Linked DNA regions of Lepisosteus oculatus. Each later gene encodes a partner of the first gene's protein in a complex. Links are inferred from orthologs where the notes say so. Each region holds a gene or a part of one and is shown on either strand. Other genes may lie near its edges.

Evidence for each region.
Region 2: the proteins of uba3 (region 1) and ube2m are in contact, whole or in part, in a crystal structure (PDB 2NVU), measured with the Homo sapiens proteins. The link is inferred for Lepisosteus oculatus from reciprocal best matches to the Homo sapiens genes UBA3 and UBE2M. Residues at the interface, in NP_003959.3 of Homo sapiens: His53, Pro54, Asp55, Glu61, Ser62, Phe65, Cys70, Gln149, Asn152, Asp153, Thr154, Arg157, Gln158, Phe159, His160, Ile170, Arg173, Trp174, Ser181, Leu182, Leu183, Asn184, Pro192, Ile195, Val196, Pro197, Leu214, Met217, Arg254, Met255; in NP_003960.1 of Homo sapiens: Lys3, Leu4, Phe5, Ser6, Leu7, Lys8, Gln9, Gln10, Lys11, Lys12, Glu15, Lys21, Gly22, Ser23, Ser24, Lys25, Lys26, Ala27, Gln31, Leu32, Gln35, Lys36, Ile38, Asn39, Glu40, Phe51, Ser52, Asp53, Pro54, Asp55.

The regions. Positions count from the first base shown.
Region 1 is NC_090699.1:50,386,014-50,397,431, reverse strand, and holds the start of uba3 (NEDD8-activating enzyme E1 catalytic subunit), read left to right. Parts: upstream 1-6,710; 5' UTR 6,711-6,744; coding exon 6,745-6,764; intron 6,765-6,882; coding exon 6,883-6,921; intron 6,922-8,067; coding exon 8,068-8,188; intron 8,189-8,752; coding exon 8,753-8,833; intron 8,834-9,444; coding exon 9,445-9,527; intron 9,528-10,394; coding exon 10,395-10,475; intron 10,476-10,669; coding exon 10,670-10,713; intron 10,714-11,042; coding exon 11,043-11,107; intron 11,108-11,418. Other genes in the region: arl6ip5a (ADP-ribosylation factor-like 6 interacting protein 5a), read right to left, coding at 4,587-4,765. UniProt on the Homo sapiens protein: Catalytic subunit of the dimeric UBA3-NAE1 E1 enzyme. E1 activates NEDD8 by first adenylating its C-terminal glycine residue with ATP, thereafter linking this residue to the side chain of the catalytic cysteine, yielding a NEDD8-UBA3 thioester and free AMP.
Region 2 is NC_090702.1:2,067,216-2,078,468, forward strand, and holds the start of ube2m (NEDD8-conjugating enzyme Ubc12), read left to right. Parts: upstream 1-6,753; 5' UTR 6,754-7,550; intron 7,551-7,699; 5' UTR 7,700-8,238; coding exon 8,239-8,353; intron 8,354-10,512; coding exon 10,513-10,607; intron 10,608-11,253. Other genes in the region: CD82 antigen-like, read left to right, coding at 1-184, 1,082-1,165, 4,790-4,867.

The DNA.
Region 1 (11,418 bases):
TTTGGACAACACCTGTTTAGTCACCAGGCTGTTGTATGAGATTTTAAATGGTGGAACATCATGACTTGATGTCCAAATTTTAGTTTTGAAACACAAAGGTAATGATTAATGCTGCCACACCGAAACCTATAACACAGTATATACCGTACTTCACAGTAGAAATGAAACCAGGGATTTCATGTAAAGGACTACATTAGATATTTAGGGATTTTGTGGATATTTTAGGGACCAAGATATTTTATGGATTTCAAATTTAAATTCTTAGTTAAGTTTGAAGGGACAATGTGGAAAGTGATTTCCCATACTTACTCTACGCTTGCACAATTATAGTATGGGACAAAAAAGTAACAAAACTTGAATGCACAGCATGTTGTTTTCATCTTTATCATTTCAGCCAAACATTTTTATTAAGGGGCGATATATTAAATTTGTACATTGTACCAGTAAGACACATGTTTCATTTTGATCACCACAATAACAACTAAGATATTGCTGCTCTGTTATCCACCCAGAGAAGAGAAACAAGGTCCATTATCAGGCTCAAACCACACTGCCAGGCTAAAGGAACTACATATGTTTAGCTCTGAACAGAGACACTATAAGGGGACTAGATTCAAGTATTCAATGTCCTCTGAGACATAGGCAAAATCAACCCAGTGGACAGCCATGTTGCTGAAGGTGATACCCTACTTCAAATCCCTACCTCACATCAATTAGCTACAACCTACCAAACAGACCAGACAGACCACAGAACTTATCAATTGTAACATTTTTAAGTCATGTTTTTGAAAACCAAATGATTTAGACTTGCCTCTTGTTATCTGTGAACTTTATGTTCTTATTATACCAGCTGCTATATCTCTCTGCAATGGGAAAGCTAAGGTTGCTGCTGGAAGAGGTGTTAGTGAGGCCAGTAGGGGGCATTCACCCTGTGGTCCGTGTGGGTCCTAATGCCCCAGTATAGTGACGGGGACACTCTACTGTAAAAAGGGGCATCTCGGATGAGATGTAAAACATCTGTAAAAAATGGCCTCCTAATAATCCCCATCTATGTATTGGCTTCTGCTCTCTCCTCCCCACTGACAGCTGGTGTGTGGTGAGTGTACTGGTGTACTTAGGCTGCCGTTGCATCATTCAGGTGAGGGCTACACACTGGTGTTGTAGGGGAGTCCCCATTACAAGTGCTTTAAGGAATTTATTATTATTGCATAGTGGCACAGTAGTTAGCACTGCTGCCTTGGAGTGCTGGGGTTTGATTGCTAGGCTATCTCTGTGGAGTTTGTATGTTCTCCCTATGTGGGCTTCCTCTAGGTGCTCCAGTTTCCTCCCACAGTCCAATAAGATACTGGTACTGTAGGTTAATTAGCCTCTGGTAAAGCCGGCCCTGGTGCAAGTGTGTGCTTGTGCCAGCGAGTGCCCTGTAGGGGACTGGTGTCCTGTTCAGGGTGTATCCTGTCTTGTGCCTGCTGCTTGCAGGGATAGGCTCTGGCTCCACCAGGATCCTGGATTGGATAAAGCAGTTAGAAAATGGATGGATGTTCTAATTACAGTACATTATGAACACTTAAGTGTAATTTGATTAAATATTAAATGAATAGCTTTAAAATACATAGCACTGCTGTGAGGTTTGAACATTACTGTTACTTAAGGTTTCTTACATGTCTCTTTTGAACTACATTTCCATTAGTGTGTATAATTGATTTCAGGGTAAAGATGATATGATAAAGCTTGAGCAGTCTTGTACATTCTCAAAAGCATCTACAACCTTTTTTGGCTATTTTTTACTATTTATAATGTGTTGCGTTATATCACTAAATATTGGTATTTGGTTTTGGTGTTGTTTCAATTCATACGTACAGTGCAGTGTAAAAGTATCCCGATTTTCTCCATGTTTGCAAAATTTTTACACTGAATGTTTTCAGGTCTTCAACCAAAATCTAATATTAGATAAAGGGTACCTGAGTGAACAAATAACACATTTTTTTTTACTTATTTCGTTTATTTAATGAACAATGTTATCCAACACCAAATTTCACTGTGTGAAAAATTGCTCCCTAGTTAAATCAACCCAATTAAAGAGATAATTTAGAGTCGGCTGATTGAATACAGCCACTGTATAAACCTCACTTACTGTATTTTGAGTCTTACCATCAGAGTCAAGTTGCCAGCACAAAGATTCAATAAGCATATTATGCCACGATCAAAGGAAATTCCTGAAGACATCAGAAAAAAGTCTGGAAAGGGTTACAAAGCCATTTCTAAGGCTCTGGGACTTCACCGAACCACAGTGAGAGCTATAATCTCCAAATGGAGAACACCTGGAACAGTAGTGAGTCTTCCCAGGAGGGCAAGCCTGCCAAACCTTCTCCAAGGGCACAGCATAAAATCATCCAAGAAGTCTCAAGGGATCCTAAAAAAACATCCAAAGAACTGCAGGCATCTCTTGCCTCAGCTAAGTTCAGTGTTCAACACTCCACAATCAGAAAGAGACTGATTCAAAAATGGGCAAAATGGGCAAAAATGGGCTTCATGGGAGAGTAGCAAGGCAGAAACCGCTGCTAACCAAGAAGAACATAAATGCTCATCTCTCATTTGCCAAGAAGCACCTGGATGAGCCCCAAGCCTTTTAGGAGAATGTTCTATGGGCAGATGAGTCAAAAGTGGAACTTTTTGGACAACATGGGTCCCACTATGTCTGGCATAAAGCAAACACAGCATTCCACAGTACGAACATCATACCAACAGTCAAACATGGTGGTGCTAGTGTGATGGTGTGGGGATGCTTTGCTGCCTCAGGACCTGGACGACTTGCCATAATTAAAGAGAAGTGTGAATTCGGCTCTGTATCAGAAAATTCTTAAGGAGAATGTCCAGTCATCCGTCCGTGAACTGAAGCTGAAGTGTAGTTGGGTCATGTAACAAGACAATGATCCAAATACAAAAGCAAGTCCACATCAGAATGGTTCAAAAGAAACTAAATTAAAGTTTTGGAGTGGCCATCAAAGTCCAGACCTAATCCCAATAGAGATGCTGTGGCAGGACCTGAAACAGACAGTTGATGCTGAAAAAAACCTACCAATGTTTCTGAATTAAAACAGTTCTGTAAGGAAGAGTGGGCTAAAATTGCTCCACAGCAATGTGAATGACTGATATTGAATTATAGGAAGTGTTTGGTTGCAGTTATTGCAGCTAAAGGTGGTGCAACCAGTCATTATTTACTTTTTTACTCACACAGGGGATATGGGTGTTGGATAACTGTGTTTATTAAATGAATGAAATAATAATAAAAAAAATGTTACTTGTTCACTCAGGTTCCCTTGATCAAATATTAGATTTTGTCTAAAGATCTGAAAACATCTAGTGTGACAAATATACAATAATAGAGGAAATTGTGGATATTTTTTCACGGCATTGTATATATTTACCTTTAAGGAGTATGTCCCTCTTTCCAGTGAATTAACAGTAGTATGTTTGGCAAGATAAAGGTAAAAGGTCGGAGATGTGTTGTTGATAGTAGCGTTTAGCATCATAAAATTATTTTAAAAAGTACTTCATTTTTATAGAAAAGTTAAAGAGAAGCCCCCGCCACCCTGAAATGGAAGAAGCGGTTATAAAATGGGCGGGCGACAGTTAACAGTAGCAAATAACCCCCCACATCTGGCTATTTTTATCGAGACGGTGCCGTCTTCCTCCTGTTTTACTGATACTTGCGATTCCAAGTTCCACACGGGACGAAAACTTAAAACATCTATGTTCTGTATGTTAAAGGACAGACAGAACTGTATGTTAAAGTATGATAAAAATATCATATGATAAATATCATGTACAGTACATTGTGGAACGCCCACACATCGTCTATTTGTTAAAAGTACTATTACGTTTTATGCCCGCATTGACAGCAAAACATTTCTACACACACTGACACGTATACAGATCTCTCTAATACATAATTGCATGTCAAACTAGGAAAATGGCAACTTTTGAACAAGTTGCACTGTTAATATACTGTTATTAGAAACGACGTTTCCAGTTCTATTGCTTTGCCTCAGACCTCGCATTCCTGAGCGCAGCCCCTGAAATCGACTGTGCCTATTACAAGGCATCATATAAATTATTACAATACTACCATTACACACACCCCAGCACTCTGTATAATGGATTGCATCAACAACTCTGTTTGCACGTCGCAAACTTTGAGCAAGGTGCAGGGTGTTGGAGGAACTTAAGTATCTCGGATGTCCTTTTCTGGACGAGCTGCACAACATTGAATTCCGCATCAGAACACTACAATTTTAAAGTTGTCGCATGGCCCTAAATTCGCATCCGGTTTAACATTCAAACCTGTCAATCAGAAATAGAACGCGTTAACAAATTTAACAGGCTCACTAATGTACAGTACTGTAATTACTGAACGCTAAAAATGTTCATAAACATTAAATTAAGAAACGCCGTGAAACAACCGTCTCAATTACAGCTGGCATCATAAAGAATCGTGCACAGAAGAAAAAAATGCAGTTTTGGAAAAGGGTGGGGAGAATATGACTAACAGCGGACTAAGTGTTGCCAAGTCTTCAAAGGCTACTTACCCAACGATCAAAAACACGACAATGGCCATTGCAAAGTAATTGGTCTGATAGTAGAGCAAATTGCTGACGACTCTGTTGTTCCATTTTGCTAAGTTACCCACGTCAGGTTTTGCAAAGCGATCTGAACCGGGAAGAAAGTCGTCCCAGGGTCTGAGCGGTGCGAGCTCCATCCCAGCCATGATCGCAGCGGCGGTGGCTTGCAGGCTTCTGGGCTGGAGCGAGCATCAGCTGGTGCGCTAACGTCACGGGGCTGAGTGGGCAGGGTTGTCTGGTTCTCGCGATAAACAAACCTGTGCATCTCATCCAGAAGATACAAGATGCCCAGCTTCTCTGTAATAATAATAATAATAATAATAATAATAATAATAATAATAATAATAATAATGCAAAATATTTAAACTGGCGGTGGGTTTTAGACAGTGTACTGAAAACTGCATTAATGAAGCAGACGTTTACGTTACCCGGAATTAAAAAGTAAAGATCACAAAGAATTAGGGTAAATGGTCTTTTATCAAAGTTGCTATGTTCTGTGCTATTGCCCATCCTGTACATTCTGCATACTGACTGCTGTAGGTCTTTTGAGAAAAAAACAGGTGTTTAAGTCTGCTCCTAGACATGGGCCTGAAATGGAGTATTTTGTTGACTGGTGTAACAACTCCTGTCTTCAACTTAATGTATCAAAAACCAAAGGCATGATCATTGATTAAGAAAACAACCACCAGCTGCGAAACCAAAAGTTATCGAAGGTCTGAAACTGAATAGTCATATATTACTCTTATCTTGGCACTAGTGTTAATTACAAACTAACCTTTGAGAAAAACACATGCCATATGTAAGAAGACTCCACTCTATTAATTTGGGTGCTACAACTATCACTTTATCCCAAGGAACTTTCATTGAATTTGCCCTGTTCTCTGTGGTAGATTGATTTGGTAACCTTAATAAACACAATAAAATCAGACTGAGCAGGACAGTGTAGCTAAGGTAGCCAACAACATAATTGGTGGATGACAGCTACAGCTGTCAGACAACCAGGGACGGATTTTGTTGTTTGTAGGCTCTAGGCACTTTCACGCCGAAATGTGCAAAAAGAGGAGTATATGCCAATTGAATTACGTTGATTTACATGATGCACTTTAAACTATTCTAATGCTAAACCACGTGATTGATGGAGCGAGTTGAGCGACCATCACTCGATACTTCTAGTTTCTAGAACAGCCGCTAGATAGCGTAAGATTATTGATTGGGAGCACGTAGAGTCGATCACAAGCATATTGTTTCAGCTCATTTTTCATTAGTCACTAGTGTTTTCCACCTTCGTAGGCACTAAAAAGATTATAGGCCCCAGGTACTGTGCCTACAGTGCCTTGTGCGAAATGCGGCACTGCAGACATCTACATCAGACAAATAGTGTGTCTATCATGGACTGTCATTACTACCCCTTGTATAGTGAATTTGAGCTCCTTCCATCTGGGGACTGATTTAGACTCAAATGCAATAGAACTACATTATCTTTTAATCCAATGGCTAATAACTTGCTTAATTTGGACAATTGATTGTATATTTTATTTTACTTATATATATATTTTCTTATTTATTTATGAATTCATGTTGTATTACTGTACCTTGTTGTTTTTTACCAGACCATGAAGCAAATTTTCCATCTGGGGCAATAACAGTAAGTATCTCAAGAGTTCTGTATCTTAGATTTCTTCTTTTATTTAAGGTGATCTCAGATGTTTTCATATACTGTACATTGTAAGGAAAGGCAGGGTAAGACAAGGTGTGGTTGCTAGATCTTCTGGGTTTTATTCCACACTGGAGTGACTTTTGTGTGGAGTTTGGTTGTTCTCATACTTTTATTTTTCCAAGTGGGTTGCTTTCCTGTCACCTTCCAAAAAAAGCTGTCTAGGTTGACTGGCGTCTCTAAAATGTTCACAGAACGTTTTATGTCACGTATGATCGGGGTGACGCGAACATTGCCAGCAACAAAAATCTTTCTGATGCCGTATAAATCTTGAACTGGTTGGTTGGGGCTGGACTGTTGGCTTGAATTGGCTTGAAAAATCTTTCCATTGTGCTGTTTCAAATCTCCCTCCCTCAAACAGCTGCAGCTCCTAACCACCGCGGCATTGTGGGAGGAGACGGAGCAGGAAATATGGCGGATGTGGAGGAACCGTAAGTATCCGTGAAAGGAGAGGACAGAGAGATCTGCAAATTAGTGCTCATAATCTCATGTATTACCTGCTGAAAAAAAGAGAACACGATTGAACCTTCTTTTATTCTCTCTTTTTAGGGAGAAGAAAAGAAGGAGAGTAGAAGAGCAGACTGAGAAGTTAGTACTGAAATGCTAAAAATATATAAACTGCCAGCAGGTTTGAGGTTACACAGCGCACGGAGTAGTAGAGCATTAATGTGAAAATTCTTTTTTCCATTCGTTGACTGACACATTAATGTTTTGTCTATAAAAGGACGGAAAATTGAAATATTCTAAAATTTACAGTCGATTATAGTAAGGCCTCAGGCTGCTCAAATGTATCGCAGTTTATAGTCACGCTTATAGTAACTAGTTACATGTTTTTAATAACGTGTTCATAAGGAATTTTCACATCTTAATGTTGCGCTCGTTTCTTATTTCGACTGCTATTTAATTAACTCCATTCTTTTATAGAAACATTGCATATAAATTAAAATTATACAATAGCTGTAATACAGGCCTCTACCGATTTCTAATTGTGTTGTTTGGTTACATTGTTTTGTAAACTTTCAAAAGGGAATATATTAAACATAACGTGCTTGTTTTATCAGGATTGTGATAACGATGTTTAGGCTGGAATAGTAACTGTTACACCCCAACAGTTGTTATTGTGAATAGCATGTCAACCAGTAATATATCTGGAGAATTAATCAAAACGTACCAGACAGATAATTATTTCTATTAATTAAAAAGATTCTTAACCCTATTTATTGATAAACGTTCTTCTGGCAAATTTAGTTTCCTCTTGGTAACAGTAATGTCTTAAACAGACTTTATACATAATAAATAAGTTAAACAAGCGTAATTATGGTCAAATACCATCTTATTACAACCTCTGTTGTATTTTGCCAAAAAAAAAATGTACCTTAGGTGTGGTTACTGTGCGATTGGTCAATGTATGTAGGTACTTAAAGCTACATATTCTGAAGTTATTTGTGTCTGAAAGGATAATATATATTTTTATTTATGATATACCTACATTGACATTTGAAGTATTAAAAAAATGGTACAATAGTACAAATAAAGGTACAAGTTTAGATGTTTGACCAACAATGTACTGCGTACTCAAAAGCTAACAATACCAGTTAGCCTGTAAGTTAAAGTCTTTGCACACGCTGCCAACTTTGGTATTGTGTTTTCAAACTACAGGCATTGTGAGCACAGCAGACACGCAAGTTGTTTTCCAACTGATGTTTGTAGCTGAGTTCCTTGTGTTCTGTGCAGAATGGCTGTGGATGGTGGGTGTGGGGACAATGGAGACTGGGCAGGTCGCTGGAGCCATGTCAAGAAGTTTCTCGAGCGCTCAGGACCATTTACACACCCCGATTTTGAACCAAGCACTGACGTGAGACAACTCCACTTTCTCCAGTTGTGTTTTGTACTGGGGGGGAAAGGAAAGCACAGCAAACGAACCCCCACAAGCTTTAAAATGTTGAATGTTTTGAATTACATTTCTTAGAAAATGCAGTTGACAGTTTTGCATGATTTCCATCACATAGTTTTAGTTCCACCTATACACATAAATTCTACAAATGGCTTCATACTGTATTATAAATACGATGCCATGAATTTAATACAAAAATGTTTGCTAACTCGGTACCAATTGATCATATAGTTGATATCAGTTGAAAAGCAGCCATTTAATTTACTAATAAAATAGTAAAAATCCAGTACACATTGTGGTCTTTATTTCAGACTCTACTTCTGTTTTACAATGTAACATGTTTAACATGGTAAAGTTAAAAGAAATCAACACTTAAAAGTGATATTTCCATTTTCAGTTTTAAAATACATTTTTACTCTTTTAATTATGGTCAGGTACATATTGTCACCTGTTCTTTTTAGTTCTGTATGCCATTTGTGTGCGTATTCATAGTAACTCTTTTCTGGTTTTGTGTTTTAACTATAGTCACTCCAGTTTTTATTGGACACATGCAAGATACTAGTCATTGGAGCTGGAGGGCTTGGATGTGAACTTCTTAAAAATCTGGTATGATGCTGATTCTTTTTTTTAAAAAAAACTTTAGATCAGTGTAAACTGGTGTGAAGTTAAGATCTTGTGTGTTTCAATGGGCAGTCAAATGCTTTGCATTGTTCTTAGGGTGAAAAAATGCAGGGAGCTTTGAACGCTTTGAATTTTTTTCATGATGATTGTTTTCTCCTTGATGCTTCTGTTCATGAAATATTTCATCTGGGAGCACAAATGTTTTAGAATGACTTCCTGAACTGCGAAATGCACGTATTAAAATGCTTCTTGTACATTTTTTCCATTTCATGAAGTCTTTTGCATGAATGTTCTTCACTTATAACCGGAAATTATGTTAAAATTATATTTAGAGAATAGGAAAGAAAGTTGAACAAAATGTACCTAACATTCACATACTTCAAACAGTAATTGTCAAATATCTGTGTTTGATAGATTGTTTCTCTTTCAGTATGAATGTCCACGTGCAGGAAAGTTTGGATGAAAACTGTTGTTTTACAATTTAAGCATTGTTGATTGCACTGTACTTTTTTTTGGAATAAGTGACTACTTAAATAAAACGCTGTTGGCATTTGTAAACCTTTTATTCAGATCACTTTTTACCATTATGTTATCAGGCCCTGTCTGGCTTTCGCCATATTCATGTAGTTGACATGGATACCATCGATGTCTCAAATCTGAACAGGCAATTTTTATTCAGGTGAGCTGTGTTTGTTAAGAGCTCTTTTCAGTTCACTGATATAGTGTATTTTCACAGTTAAATAAATCACACATTCCAGACACTCTCTGCTCTTGCTGGCTTCTGCACACTGAAATTGGACATGAAATTCCCATAAAAATCAACAAAATATTGGGAGAGGTGTTCCTGTCCCAACAAAATCAACAAATTGTTGGGTTTTGTCCTGCTTTATTATGACAATATTCTGGTTATTGCTTTTAGGTCTTGCCCTTTTCATCTATATGTTATTTGTGAATCAAGTAATTTACAGAGAAAATGACAGGGGAAAGCTACAGAGGTGCGGACATGTGAGCCCTGAGTGATAAGTTAATAACAGTTAAGAAGATGGCTAAGTACAGACGTCTTACCGACACGTTTTAAATTTTAAGCAATTTTAACACCTCTGTAGGTTGTCCAACAACTTTTCTCACATCTACATAGATGTTTTGCAAATTCACTTTGTGGTAGCTGGGCAGTATCATGTATTCGCTCATTGATCTCATTCCTCTGAATCGCTTTGTATTTTTACTATTAAGCTGATTTGTCCAAGTCCTCTTACTGTCATCAGCGCCATGTGGTGCACCATCTGTGCTGGTCTGCTGTGGCTGATGGGCACAGTGTAACGAGCACAAGTGGTATTTTTGTTCTAAAGTTAAGCATATTTTGGGTAGCAGACTGCAACTGTGGTTATTGCTAATGTTTTTTGACATGATGAAACAGAATATTATTGATAGCATCAGGTGTCTTCTGTCAGTCTCCTCCCTTTCAACTAAGTTGATGTTAGTGTAAAAATTCAGATTCTGATAGTTTTCCTACCTGAACATTTTTTGCCTCCCAACATTTCCTCAGACCTAAAGATGTGGGGAGGCCGAAAGCAGAAGTGGCGGCAGAATTTATCAACAGTCGTATTCCAAGCTGTGGTGTTGTGCCGTATCCTTTACTTTCAGTTACAGTATGCCCTGAACAAAAGGAGCAGGGTGCACAGAACTCGATTATGGTAAAGAAAGGAAACATTAGTTAATGCAGGGTGATCCTGTAAATATCAGTAATAGCAAAAATGTCATTTTTGCATAGTGTGTAAAAAATTAACTCAAACCTGTTTCTAATTTCTTAACAACATGCAGATATTTTAAAAAAATACAAGATTTTGATGATTCATTTTACAGACGTAAGTCTTTCATTGTTTGAACACCTTAATAAAGCTGTTGCAGATTATATATAAGGAGGGTTGCAGTTTTAAATACTGAGGTTTATGCTCCAAAAACAATTTTGCCATCAAAACGCATTTTCCATCGACTGTTATACATAAGGTACATACAAAAAGAAGATTGCAAGTCATTGTTACAGCAGGGAAAACATTCCTTTTTGGAACTGGTCTTAATCCTCTTTGTAAAAGCTTGATCTGAGTTTTACATGTTTTTCAATTTGTGATACTGAGATATCGGGAAAATATAAAAAATTGAGTCTCACTTCCAATACTTATTTGTGTTTCCTCAGAATTTCATATAATTGTATGCGGCCTGGATTCAATCATTGCAAGGAGGTGGATAAATGGCATGCTGGTATTTGTCAATTTTTCATCATCATTGAAAACATTTTCATATTTTTAATATTCACAACATTTAGTTGTACCTAGTATTATACTTTTTTTTTCCTGTGAATTTTGATCTTCAATTTGACCTCATGAGTCAGATGTGATTTAATTTTGGAATTTTAATTAGGCAGGCGACAGTGCCGTAATGGTTATCATTGCTGCTTATCAGCGCTGGGGCCCAAGGTTCAATTCCTGGAATGCTATCTGCTTGATGTTTTTTATGTTCTCATGTTCACGTGGGTTTCCTCCGGGTGCTCTGGTTTCCTCCCATAGTCCAAA
Region 2 (11,253 bases), on another chromosome or scaffold:
AAGTGTCTTGGATGTCCTGGATTTTTTGGGTGATAACATGACCGAGTCAGGTGACGTTTATAACGTCACTGAGCAGCTTTATGGAGATAACAGCTCAGAGACTTATTCCACCACCTCCACGCCTGTCAACCCCTCCAGCTCTTCTCCGCCAAGGCAGGTCTGCCATGGACAACCTTACGAACAGGTGAGCGTCCAACGAGAATGAGGAGAATGAGGAGGGGAATGAGGAGGAGAATGAGGAGGGGAATGAGGAGGAGAATGAGGAGAAAGAGGATGAGGGTGAGGATTGGGATAAGAAAGAGGATGAGATTGAGCATGAAGATGAGGATGATGAGGGTGAGGATTGGGATAAGAAAGAGGATGCGATTGAGGATGAAGATGAGGATGAAAAGAAAGGATGAGACTGAGGATGAGGACAAGAATGAGAATGAAGATGAGGATGATGAGAAAGAGGATGAGGGTGAGGATTGGGATAAGAAAGAGGATGAGATTGAGCATGAAGATGAGGATGATGAGGGTGAGGATTGGGATAAGAAAGAGGATGAGATTGAGGATGATGAGAAAGAGAATGAGGGTGAGGATTGGGATAAGAAAGGATGAGATTGAGGATGATGAGAAAGAGGATGAGGGTGAGGATTGGGATAAGAAAGAGGATGAGATTGAGGATGATGAGAAAGAGGATGAGGGTGAGGATTGGGATAAGAAAGAGGATGAGATTGAGGATGAAGATGAGGATGATGAGGGTGAGGATTGGGATAAGAAGATGCGATTGAGGATGAAGATGAGGATGAAAAGAAAGGATGAGACTGAGGATGAGGACAAGAATGAGAATGAAGATGAGGCTGATGAGAAAGAGGATGAGGGTGAGGACGAGAACTAAGATGAAGATGAGATTGAGAATGATGCTGAGAATGAGGATAAGAATGAGGAAGAGGAGGAGGAGGACGAAGATTTCTGTGAGAATGAGGATGAGGATCAGAATGAAAGTGAGGAGGAGGATGACGATGAGAATGTGGAATGAAGATAAGGATAAGGAGAAGATGAGCGTCTACATTACAGTCGGTATACTCTCTCTTTCCAGGGCTGTAAGCTGGGCATTACAAATTGGCTGAAGCAGAACCTCACGCTGATCCTGGGAGTCTGTGCTGCTGTGGTCGCGGTGGAGGTGAGACAGCCCAGCGGACAGAAACACACAGGGGAGCAGGGGGGGATACAGGCGAGAGCAGGCCGAGAGATCGCTTGTGTCTGTTCAGAGCCCAGCTGCAGCAGACTTATCCTATAGGATACAGGCGAGAGCAGGCCGAGAGATCGCTTGTGTCTGTTCAGAGCCCAGCTGCAGCAGACTTATCCTATAGGATACAGGCGAGAGCAGGCCGAGAGATCGCTTGTGTCTGTTCAGAGCCCAGCTGCTGCAGAACTATCCTATAGGATACAGGCGAGAGCAGGCCGAGAGATCGCTTGTGTCTGTTCAGAGCCCAGCTGCTGCAGAACTATCCTATAGGATACAGGCGAGAGCAGGCCGAGAGATCGCTTGTGTCTGTTCAGAGCCCAGCTGCTGCAGACTTTTCCTATAGGATACAGGCGAGAGCAGGCCGAGAGATCGCTTGTGTCTGTTCAGAGCCCAGCTGCAGCAGACTTATCCTATAGGATACAGGCGAGAGCAGGCCGAGAGATCGCTTGTGTCTGTTCAGAGCCCAGCTGCTGCAGACTTATCCCAGAGGATACAGGTGAGAGCAGGCCGAGAGATCGCTTGTGTCTGTTCAGAGCCCAGCTGCTGCAGACTCATCCTATAGGATACAGGCGAGAGCAGGCCGAGAGATCGCTTGTGTCTGTTCAGAGCCCAGCTGCAGCAGACTTATCCTATAGGATACAGGCGAGAGCAGGCCGAGAGATCGCTTGTGTCTGTTCAGAGCCCAGCTGCTGCAGACTCATCCTATAGGATACAGGCGAGAGCAGGCCGAGAGATCGCTTGTGTCTGTTCAGAGCGCAGCTGCTGCAGACTTGTCCCAGAGGATACAGGCGAGAGCAGGCCGAGAGATCGCTTGTGTCTGTTCAGATCCCAGCTGCTACAATGGTGTGATAATGACTTTACTGTCATACAGTGGTGTGACTGGGGGGCATGCAGACTCATCGGAATCTGCGCTCCCCCTCGTTAACGGTAATGATGAGCAAAGGTGGTTGACGAGCACGACCTAGAGCCGTGATTAATAACATGGATTGATCACGCTGGAAAACCCGGAGCGGATCAGACTGGCGCACGACGAGATTGATAACGGATTGATATCGGATTGATCACACTGTAAAACCCGGACCGGATCAGACTGGCGCGCGACGAGATTGATAACGGATTGATAACACTGTAAAATCCGGAGCTGATCAGACTGGCGGGCGACGAGATTGATAACGGATTGATATCTGATCGATCATGCTGTAAAACCCGGAGCGGATCAGACTGGCGCGCGACGAGATTGATAACGGATTGATATCGGATTGATCACACTGTAAAACCCGGACCGGATCAGACTGGCGCGCGACGAGATTGATAACGGATTGATATCGGATTGATCACGCTGTAAAACCTGGAGCGGATCAGACTGGCGCGGGACGAGAATCGGATCGATCACGCTGTAAAACCCGGAGCGGATCAGACTGGCGCGCGACGAGAATCGGATCGATCGCGCTGGAAAACCCGGAGCGGATCAGACTGGCGCGGGACGAGAATCGGATCGATCACGCTGTAGAACCCGGAGCGGATCAGACTGGCGTGTAGTTGGATTCCAGTTAAGAACACTATGAAGCCTAGAGCAGACCACGCTGGTTTATAACGGGAGTCCGATTGATCCGCTCCAGGTTTTACAGTGTAATTAAGCTGGTGCTTACAATGAGAGCCTGACTGAAGACTTTGTAAAACCCGGGCTGGTCCGGACTGGATTGCCCTGGCGGTGGGATTTATACCAGGGGGGGAGAGGGGGTTTAAAACAGCCCCCAACCCCCCCCCCCTCTCTTTCAGTTCTGCCAGTGTGTCAGCCTGCTGGTGTTCATGTGTCTCTCTCTGTGTCGGCGCCCGGCTCCAGAGAACAGGCTCTTTCAGCCCTCCAGGTCTCAGTGTGCCAGTGTGTGCGTGCTCTGCCTCTCTGGCCACTCCAACTCTGGGGGCTGGGGGCTCTTCAAGAGCTCTGTAGCCCGTAAAGCCTGGAGTGGATCAGGCTGGCCTGCAGTGAGACTGTGATTAGAAGCACTTCAAGCCTCGAGAGAGGGTCACACAAAGGCATGCTTTGGAAATCTGATTACCTGCGGTGTAAAACCCGGAGTGGATCCGACTGGCATGCGATGGGAATCGGATTGATAACATTGTAAGACCCGGAGTGGATCAGACGGGTGTGTAGTTGGAATCCGATCAATAAACATTGCAAAACCTGGGGCAGATCACACTGGTTTATAATGGCAGTCCGATCGATCCACCCCAGGTTTTACAGTGTTATGAAACCGGTGCTTACAATGAGCTGCTGATTGGTGACGTTGCAAAAGCCGGGATCAGGCTGGTTTGCAATAGGAATTTGATGAGTAATGTTGTAAAACCTGGAGTGGATCGGATTGGAGTGCAGTCGAATTGTGATTAAGCACAGTGTGATTGTGGTGGAGTGGACTGGTGTGATGTCATAATTTGTGCCTACATATGCCGCTTGCTGCATGCAGTGTGTGTAATATCCATAACATTATGTTTATAATGGTTCACTACATATTTGTGTGCTTGGAGTAGTTCTGAGGTCGGTGTTGTGTAGTGTTGTCTTGTTTTCCATGGCTCTGATTGTGACTTTGATCTCTTTGTCTCTCTCTGCATCACAGAGATTTTTATGTTGAGTATTGGCAAGGTAAAACAGACTGTCCCTCTCTCACTGCATTAACCCCTCTCTCAGTGCAGTGTTAATGTACTGGAGTGTCCAGTCAGTGTGTCTGTATTAACCCCTCTCTCTCTCAGTGCAGTGTTAATGTACTGGAGTGTCCAGTCAGTGTGTCTGTATGAACCCTCTCTCTCTCAGTGCAGTGTTAATGTACTGGAGTGTCCAGTCAGTGTGTCTGTATTAACTCCTCTCTCTCAGTGCAGTGTTAATGTACTGGAGTGTCCAGTCAGTGTGTCTGTATTAACCCCTCTCTCTCTCAGTGCAGTGTTAATGTACTGGAGTGTCCAGTCAGTGTGTCTGTATTAACCCCTCTCTCTCAGTGCAGTGTTAATGTACTGGAGTGTCCAGTCAGTGTGTCTGTATTAACTCCTCTCTCTCAGTGCAGTGTTAATGTACTGGAGTGTCCAGTCAGTGTGTCTGTATGAACCCCTCTCTCTCTCAGTGCAGTGTTAATGTACTGGAGTGTCCAGTCAGTGTGTCTGTATGAACCCCTCTCTCTCTCAGTGCAGTGTTAATGTACTGGAGTGTCCAGTCAGTGTGTCTGTATTAACCCCTCTCTCTCAGTGCAGTGTTAATGTACTGGAGTGTCCAGTCAGTGTGTCTGTATTAACCCCTCTCTCTCTCAGTGCAGTGTTAATGTACTGGAGTGTCCAGTCAGTGTGTCTGTATTAACCCCTCTCTCTCTCAGTGTAGTGTTAATGTACTGGAGTGTCCAGTCAGTGTGTCTGTATGAACCCCTCTCTCTCTCAGTGCAGTGTTAATGTACTGGAGTGTCCAGTCAGTGTGTCTGTATTAACTCCTCTCTCTCAGTGCAGTGTTAATGTACTGGAGTGTCCAGTCAGTGTGTCTGTATTAACCCCTCTCTCTCTCTCTCTTTCTCTCTCTAGCTCTTTGGTATGATCCTTTCGATGTATCTGTATAGGCAGTTCAAGCTGGACTACGATAAACTGACTCGCTTCTCCTGAGCCCTTTTGATGCTGAAGTATCCCAGTATTCCCGGAGTCTCTCCCACCCCATCCCTGAATCCTGCAGTGTTATTGGACTCATCCGCTTGAATGATGAATTCCAAGTGCAATTCCTCACCACGAAGAGCAGGAACAACATTTTCTTATTTGTACTATAATTTTAAGATGTTTTCATTCTTAAATATTTTTTGCTGTTGAGTTGTTTTTTTATGATTTTTTCTTTGATGTTTTGTATACATTTGAGAATGATGGCCTTTGTAATATGTGTGTAAACAGATGTATATTTAAACCAATGTACCTATTTTTGAATTAAATGACTGGTCCCGTCTCCTGCTGTTCTTTGGGGTTTGGTTTAATATGCAGAGCAATGATGTTTTAGGGAAGTTGTAGAAATAGGGTCGTGTTTGTCCTTCAATACTGAGAAAGAAACTGACATCCTACATTCACTGTAGTCTGATTAAAGTCGCAGTTCATAACCAGTCCAGTCAGTCCAGTCCAGCCTGGAGAGTCTCAGACTGCTCTGTCAGTGTCAGTGGAGTCTGATTATAATCCCAGTTCATAACTAATCCAGCTCCCAGTCCAGTCAGTCCAGTCCAGCCTGGAGAGTCTCAGACTGCTCTGTCAGTGTCAGTGGAGTCTGATTATAATCCCAGTTCATAACTAATCCAGCTCCCAGTCCAGTCCAGCCTGGAGAGTCTCAGACTGCTCTGTCAGTGTCAGTGGAGTCTGATTATAATCCCAGTTCATAACCAATCCAGCTCACAGTAAAGTAAATCCAGTACAATTTTAAATGAAGATAAGGACTTGTATTAATAATAATAATAATAATAATAATAATTACTTACACTTATATAGCGCTTTTCTGGACACTCCACTCAAAGCGCTTTACAGGTAATGGGGATCCCCTCCACCCCCACCAGTGTGCAGCCCCACCTGGATGATGCGACGGCAGCCATAGTGCGCCAGAACGCTCACCACACATCAGCTATTAGTGGGGAGGAGAGCAGAGAGTAATGAAGCCAATTCATAGATGGGGATTATTAGGAGGCCATGATTGGTTAAGGCCAATGGGAAATTTGGCCAGGACGCCGGGGTTACACCCCTACTCTTGTCGAGAAACACCCTGGGATTTTTAATGACCACAGAGAGTCAGGACCTCGGTTTTACGTCTCATCCGAAGGACGGCACCTGTTTACAGTATAGTGTCCCCATCACTATACTGGGGCATTAGGACCCACGTGGACCACAGGGTGAGCGCCCCCTGCTGGCCCCACTAACACCTCTTCCAGCAGCAACCTTAGTTTTATTTCTGTCTCCTATGGGAAAACACAAAACTTAGTACCAACACCCATAACTACAGAAATATGTTGGTACCAGCGACTGGCTACAGGAAAATATGAACTACATAGGTGGATACTTCACACTGGTGGCGGTAGTGGGATTCCCTATTACCTGTAAAGCGCTTTGAGTGGAGTGTAAACTGTATACGTGGAAGCAATTATTATTATTGTTAATTTACTTGTGTGCATATTTCAATTATTTCCTTTCTAGCCGCGGCGCCCTGCCGAATGATGTATATCACCGCGTTGATCGGGAGGAAATAGAGGAGAGAGCCCTCGGAAGAGTTTTTTCAGTCGGGACCTGCGCAGTGCGGCGCCGGACGGCGGGTGACGCAGGCCGCCCCGTGACGTCAGACGCCGAGGCGGCGCGCGCCGTGTCCCAGGCTGCACTGCGCGGAAAAGGGGGCCTAGTTCGCTCTGTTTTGAATCCGGCCGATCGTGTCTTGCGGTGGAAAAAAAAACAGGGGAAGGGAAGGGGGAAGAATACGGACGTTTGAGTATTATTCTTCGTCAGGCTAGCAGAAGGAGGAGAAGACGATATCCGTGTCCGTCTCGGAGGCGAACACGGCGGGGGTCTTGAACCTACAGCCGGCTTGCTCGGGTCTGCGTAACCGCTGCTGCTACCAAACCGTCAGCCTGTAGTTTTGTAAAAAAAAAAAATGTTTTAATTAAATATAGTTGAACAAAAATCGCCTTTCTTGCCGTTAAAACCGCGGGGTTTTTTTTTTTGGGGCAGCGGATAGGAAGGGGGGAGACTTCACTCGCGTCCGCCCGCCCGGGTCGACCAGAAAAAAACAAAACGGTTTTTTTTTCCTCCACCACCACCACCAGCAAGTTTAAATACAAATAACCTGCAGATTTCACAGCCGCGGGTGTCCTGCTGCCGTCGCCCCTGGCTTTGCGGGACGAAGATGGGACGGAGGGAGAGCTAGCGGGGATGCGGTTTCCCTCTCCTCCCCTCTCCCCTCCTACCCTGATCTCTGCTCTTGGGGCGCCAGCAACACAATAATAATAATCATCATCATCATCATCATCAACATCATAATAATTACTACCAGCGCGGAGGAGAGAAGACGCGACAGCACGCCCGACTGTGTGTCTCCCCCTCAACCCTCACCCGTGGAGTCTGGATAACGAGCCGGCGATTGAGGAAGGACTGCCCTCCCCACCCCCCGGCGGATAGATAGATAGAGATAAATGATTTAAAACCGCCCAGTTTCGGGGGGTTTCGATTGCAAACAAATTTTTTTTTTTAAAAAAAAAAGCTAAGAAGACGTTGGGGGGCAGATCCGAGCCCGGAGACTCAAGACGGCGCAGCGGAGCCGCAGAAGGGAGATAAAGAGGTTTGTTGGCGCAGGGAGAGGGTGGGTGGGGGTAAATAAAAGCCAATTCATTCGTTTTTATAACCCTCTATCTGCTGTTTTTGCGTGGCACCCCACAGCAACCTCTCTCTCTCTCTCTCTCCCCGTTTCTCTCCCCCTCGCCCATCAAGTACGGCGTCTTCTTCCTGACGGCCTTCGCCGAACACCGGCTGCCGGAGCCCGGCCCAGCCCAGCCCAGCGCACACAGGCCCGGCCAGGCCTCGGATCCGAGCCCTGCCCCCCGAGAGGGACAGCCCGACACCCGCCAACGAAATTAAAAAAAAAAATAATAAACCAGCGAGGAGAGGGCGAGCGTGCAGTTCAGTGCCCGCCGCCTGAGATCCCTCCTGCCTCTGTTGGGGGGGGTTTCCTTCTGGGGGTGCGCTGTGTCCCCGGCACCCCGCAATTTTCCAGGCGGCTCACGGAAGGAGAGACGAGGAGGGAGAGAAGGGTCCTGCTTTCTGCTAAGCCCCTCCTGACCCCCCTCCGCCCCCATAACCCGAGACGAAGCTAAGTGAAAGAATTTGCTCGCAGGCGACCCAAGACTACCACCGCCTTCCCTTCCTCCTCCTCCTCCTCCTCTTCCTCTCCCCCACCCCCGGAACCAGAACCGCCGGCAGCCGCAAGAGCAGGAGCGACACGGGGCTCCTCCTCCTCCTCCGCGGGCAAGATGATCAAGTTGTTCTCGCTGAAGCAGCAGAAGAAGGACGAGGAGTCGGCCGGGGGCAACCGGGCCGGGGCCGGGGGCAAGAAGGCCAGCGCGGCCCAGCTGCGCATCCAGAAAGGTGCGCACCCACCGTGGGGGGAGAGACGGGTGGGCTCGGGTGGTGGTGGTGGTGGTGGGGGGGAACTGGGGGAAACTCCGCTTGTTTTGAGGGGAGGCGAGGCGAGGCCCCCCTGCTCCCCGCGGCCTTGCTGGGGCGACTCCGTTCCCCGAGAGCGCGAAGCCCCGGTCTCGAGTAGGGGAGCCAGGCCGGGTCCGGGGTCCTCCAGTGGCGGCCGCGCACAGGCGCGGAGTCCCGCCGGCTTTCTCTCTCTCTCTCTCTCGCTGCGTCACCCAGCCGGGGGGTTTCATGCGTTTAGACCGACTAGTCTGCACACACACACACAAAAAAAACTTTTTTAAAAGCCAAGCAGCCCTGACCCTCACCCCGCGTGTCTTTTTTTAGCGTCCTTGCTTCTTGTGTTGTGCGGGATGAGGTTGGCTTCTCCTGGTTTTGTTGTTTTGCGTGGGGACTGTGTAGCTGTGTGGGAACAGGTGCTGCTGAGGTTTGTATACGCTGGAGAGAGAGAAAGGGTCATCTGCCACACGGGATGGGGGTGGGTTACAGAATAACTGACCCCAAAATAGGGGGGTCGGTGTGAACTGGCTTCGTCACTCTGTTCTCCCTGTCCCTGCTGGTCGGTGGTGTGGTGAGAGTACTGGCGCTCACCCTGCGGTCTGTGTGGGTCCTCATGCCCCAGTATAGTGACGGGGACACTAGACTGTAAACAGGCGCCGTCCTTCAGATGAGATGTCAAACCGAGGTCCTGACTCTCTGGGGTCATTAACAATCCCGGGGTGTCTCTCGACAAGAGTAGGGGTGTTACCCCAGTGTCCTGGCCAAATTCCCCCCCTGGCCTTTACCCCATCATGGCCTCCTAATAACCCCCCTCTCTGAACTGGCTCCATCCCTCTGCTCTCCTCCCCACTGAGAGCTGGTGTGTGGGAGAGGACTGGAGCATCATCCAGGTGGGGCTGCACACTGGTGGGGGTGGAGGGGATCCCCAGTACCTGTAAAGCGCTTTGAGTGGAGGGTCCAGACAGGGGCTGTATGAGTGTCAGGACTTGATTCTGATTGACTTTGTCCCTTGTCCCGCAGGGGTGCCCTCCGCTGGTGGCAACCCGGCCGGTGTCTGCGTGGGCCCGTAGGAGCTCAGTTTTGGGGGGGTTAGGGTTACAGTCCCTCCAGTGCCTGGGGGGTACACGCAGAGAGAGCAGGCCGGGCTCCAGGGACGGTCTGTTCTCGCTGATGAACTGTAAAGTGTTTCGCATTGGGGCGCTGTGGAGCGATAGCAGGGGGATGAGGGTTCATTTCGGATTGAGGACCCCAACGTTCCCACTGGAGCCTCCTCGGGTTGGATATTGGGGCGGCCGGGGCGGGGGGGGGGTCCCCTTAGTCGATCTCGGGGTCTCGTCCCCAGGGTTCCGGTTCGGGAGTGACCCTTGGGCTTTGGGAAGGTTTTCGAATCCCATCCTGACCTCGCGGGTCTCCTTTGCTCAGAACCCCGAAGATGGGGCTCTTGTAGCCCAGGGGTTCCCAGTCCCAGTCTTGGGGGACCCCAGTACCCGCTGGCTCCCCCTCCACCTGAGCTCTTGATGGGTGTAAAGCGAACTCTTCTGTTACCTTCAGGTCCTGGAGGTGTTAGGGTGGCCTTTCGGCTGTCGTGCTTCATTAGTAATAATAATTGCTTACACTTATATAGCGCTTTTCTGGACCCTCCACTCAAAGCGCTTTACAGGTAATGGGGATCCCCTCCACCCCCACCAGTGTGCAGCCCCACCTGGATGATGCAACGGCAGCCATAGTGCGCCAGAACGCCCCCCACACACCAGCTAACTTCATCGTGGGCCATAGTCACTTCATCTCCAGCCTTGAAGCCTTTAAGTCGTAGCAGTGGTAGCAAAACTTCATTTTATCTATATACATATAGCGCCTCTTAAAGGTGGCTTCTCGAAGGAGAAGAAAAGCCCACCAGAGGTTCTGATCGAACTGCCCCGTTAATTGGTTCAATTAAGGATTCGTTGAAGTGACCAGCCTGGTGGCAGGGGTGTGGGGTGTGGGGGGCGGTGGGGGTCCCCCTGCCCTCATCGACGCGGTTTCGGCGGCCTTCTTATTCCGACGCGTTCCACCCCGCTCACCGGCACGTCCGCAGGATAACCCCCCCCACTGTCTTCCCACAGATATCAATGAGCTCAACCTCCCGAAGACGTGCGAGATCGTCTTCCCGGACCAGGACGACCTGCTGAACTTCAAGCTCGTCATCTCGCCCGACGAGGTGAGGGAGCCGGCCTGTCCCGGGCCTGTCCGCTGGGTGGGGGGGTTTGGGTTTGTCGTGCTCCGCCGCTGCCCCTCCTCCGCCCCGTGATTTTTTTTTTGTTTGTTTTGAACGGCGCCCCGTCTGCCTCGCTGCGTCATCCCCTTCGACGCCGTGGCGGTAAAGACGGGTCGCGGGCGCGAGGCGGCGCTCCGGCCTGATAGTCCCGTCCGGGTCGCCGGTAGTTAATCGGTCCCCGGATCTCATCCGGCTGCGAACGAGAGGAGCCAGGGTATCGGCTTCAGCCACGTGGCTGGGCAGCTTGTTCCCCACCCCCACCACCCTCTGTGTAAGCGGCTGCCTCCTGTAAAGACTGGAGGGTCTCGCCCAGCTGTGTTGAGAGTGAAGCCAGGCGTCAGCAACAGGGCTGGGCAGCTTGTTCCCCACTCCCACCACCCTTAATGTAAAGAAGTCCCCCCCGTCCTGACTGGAGGAGCTCGCCCAGCTGTGTCTGGAGAGAAGCCAGGGTATCGACCTCAACCACAGGGCTGGGCAGCTTGTTCCCCACCCCCACCCCCCTCTGTGTACAGAAGAGCCTCCTGTCCCGACTGGAGGAGCTCACCCAGCTGTGTCTGGAGAGGAGCCAGGGTATCGGCTTCAACCACAG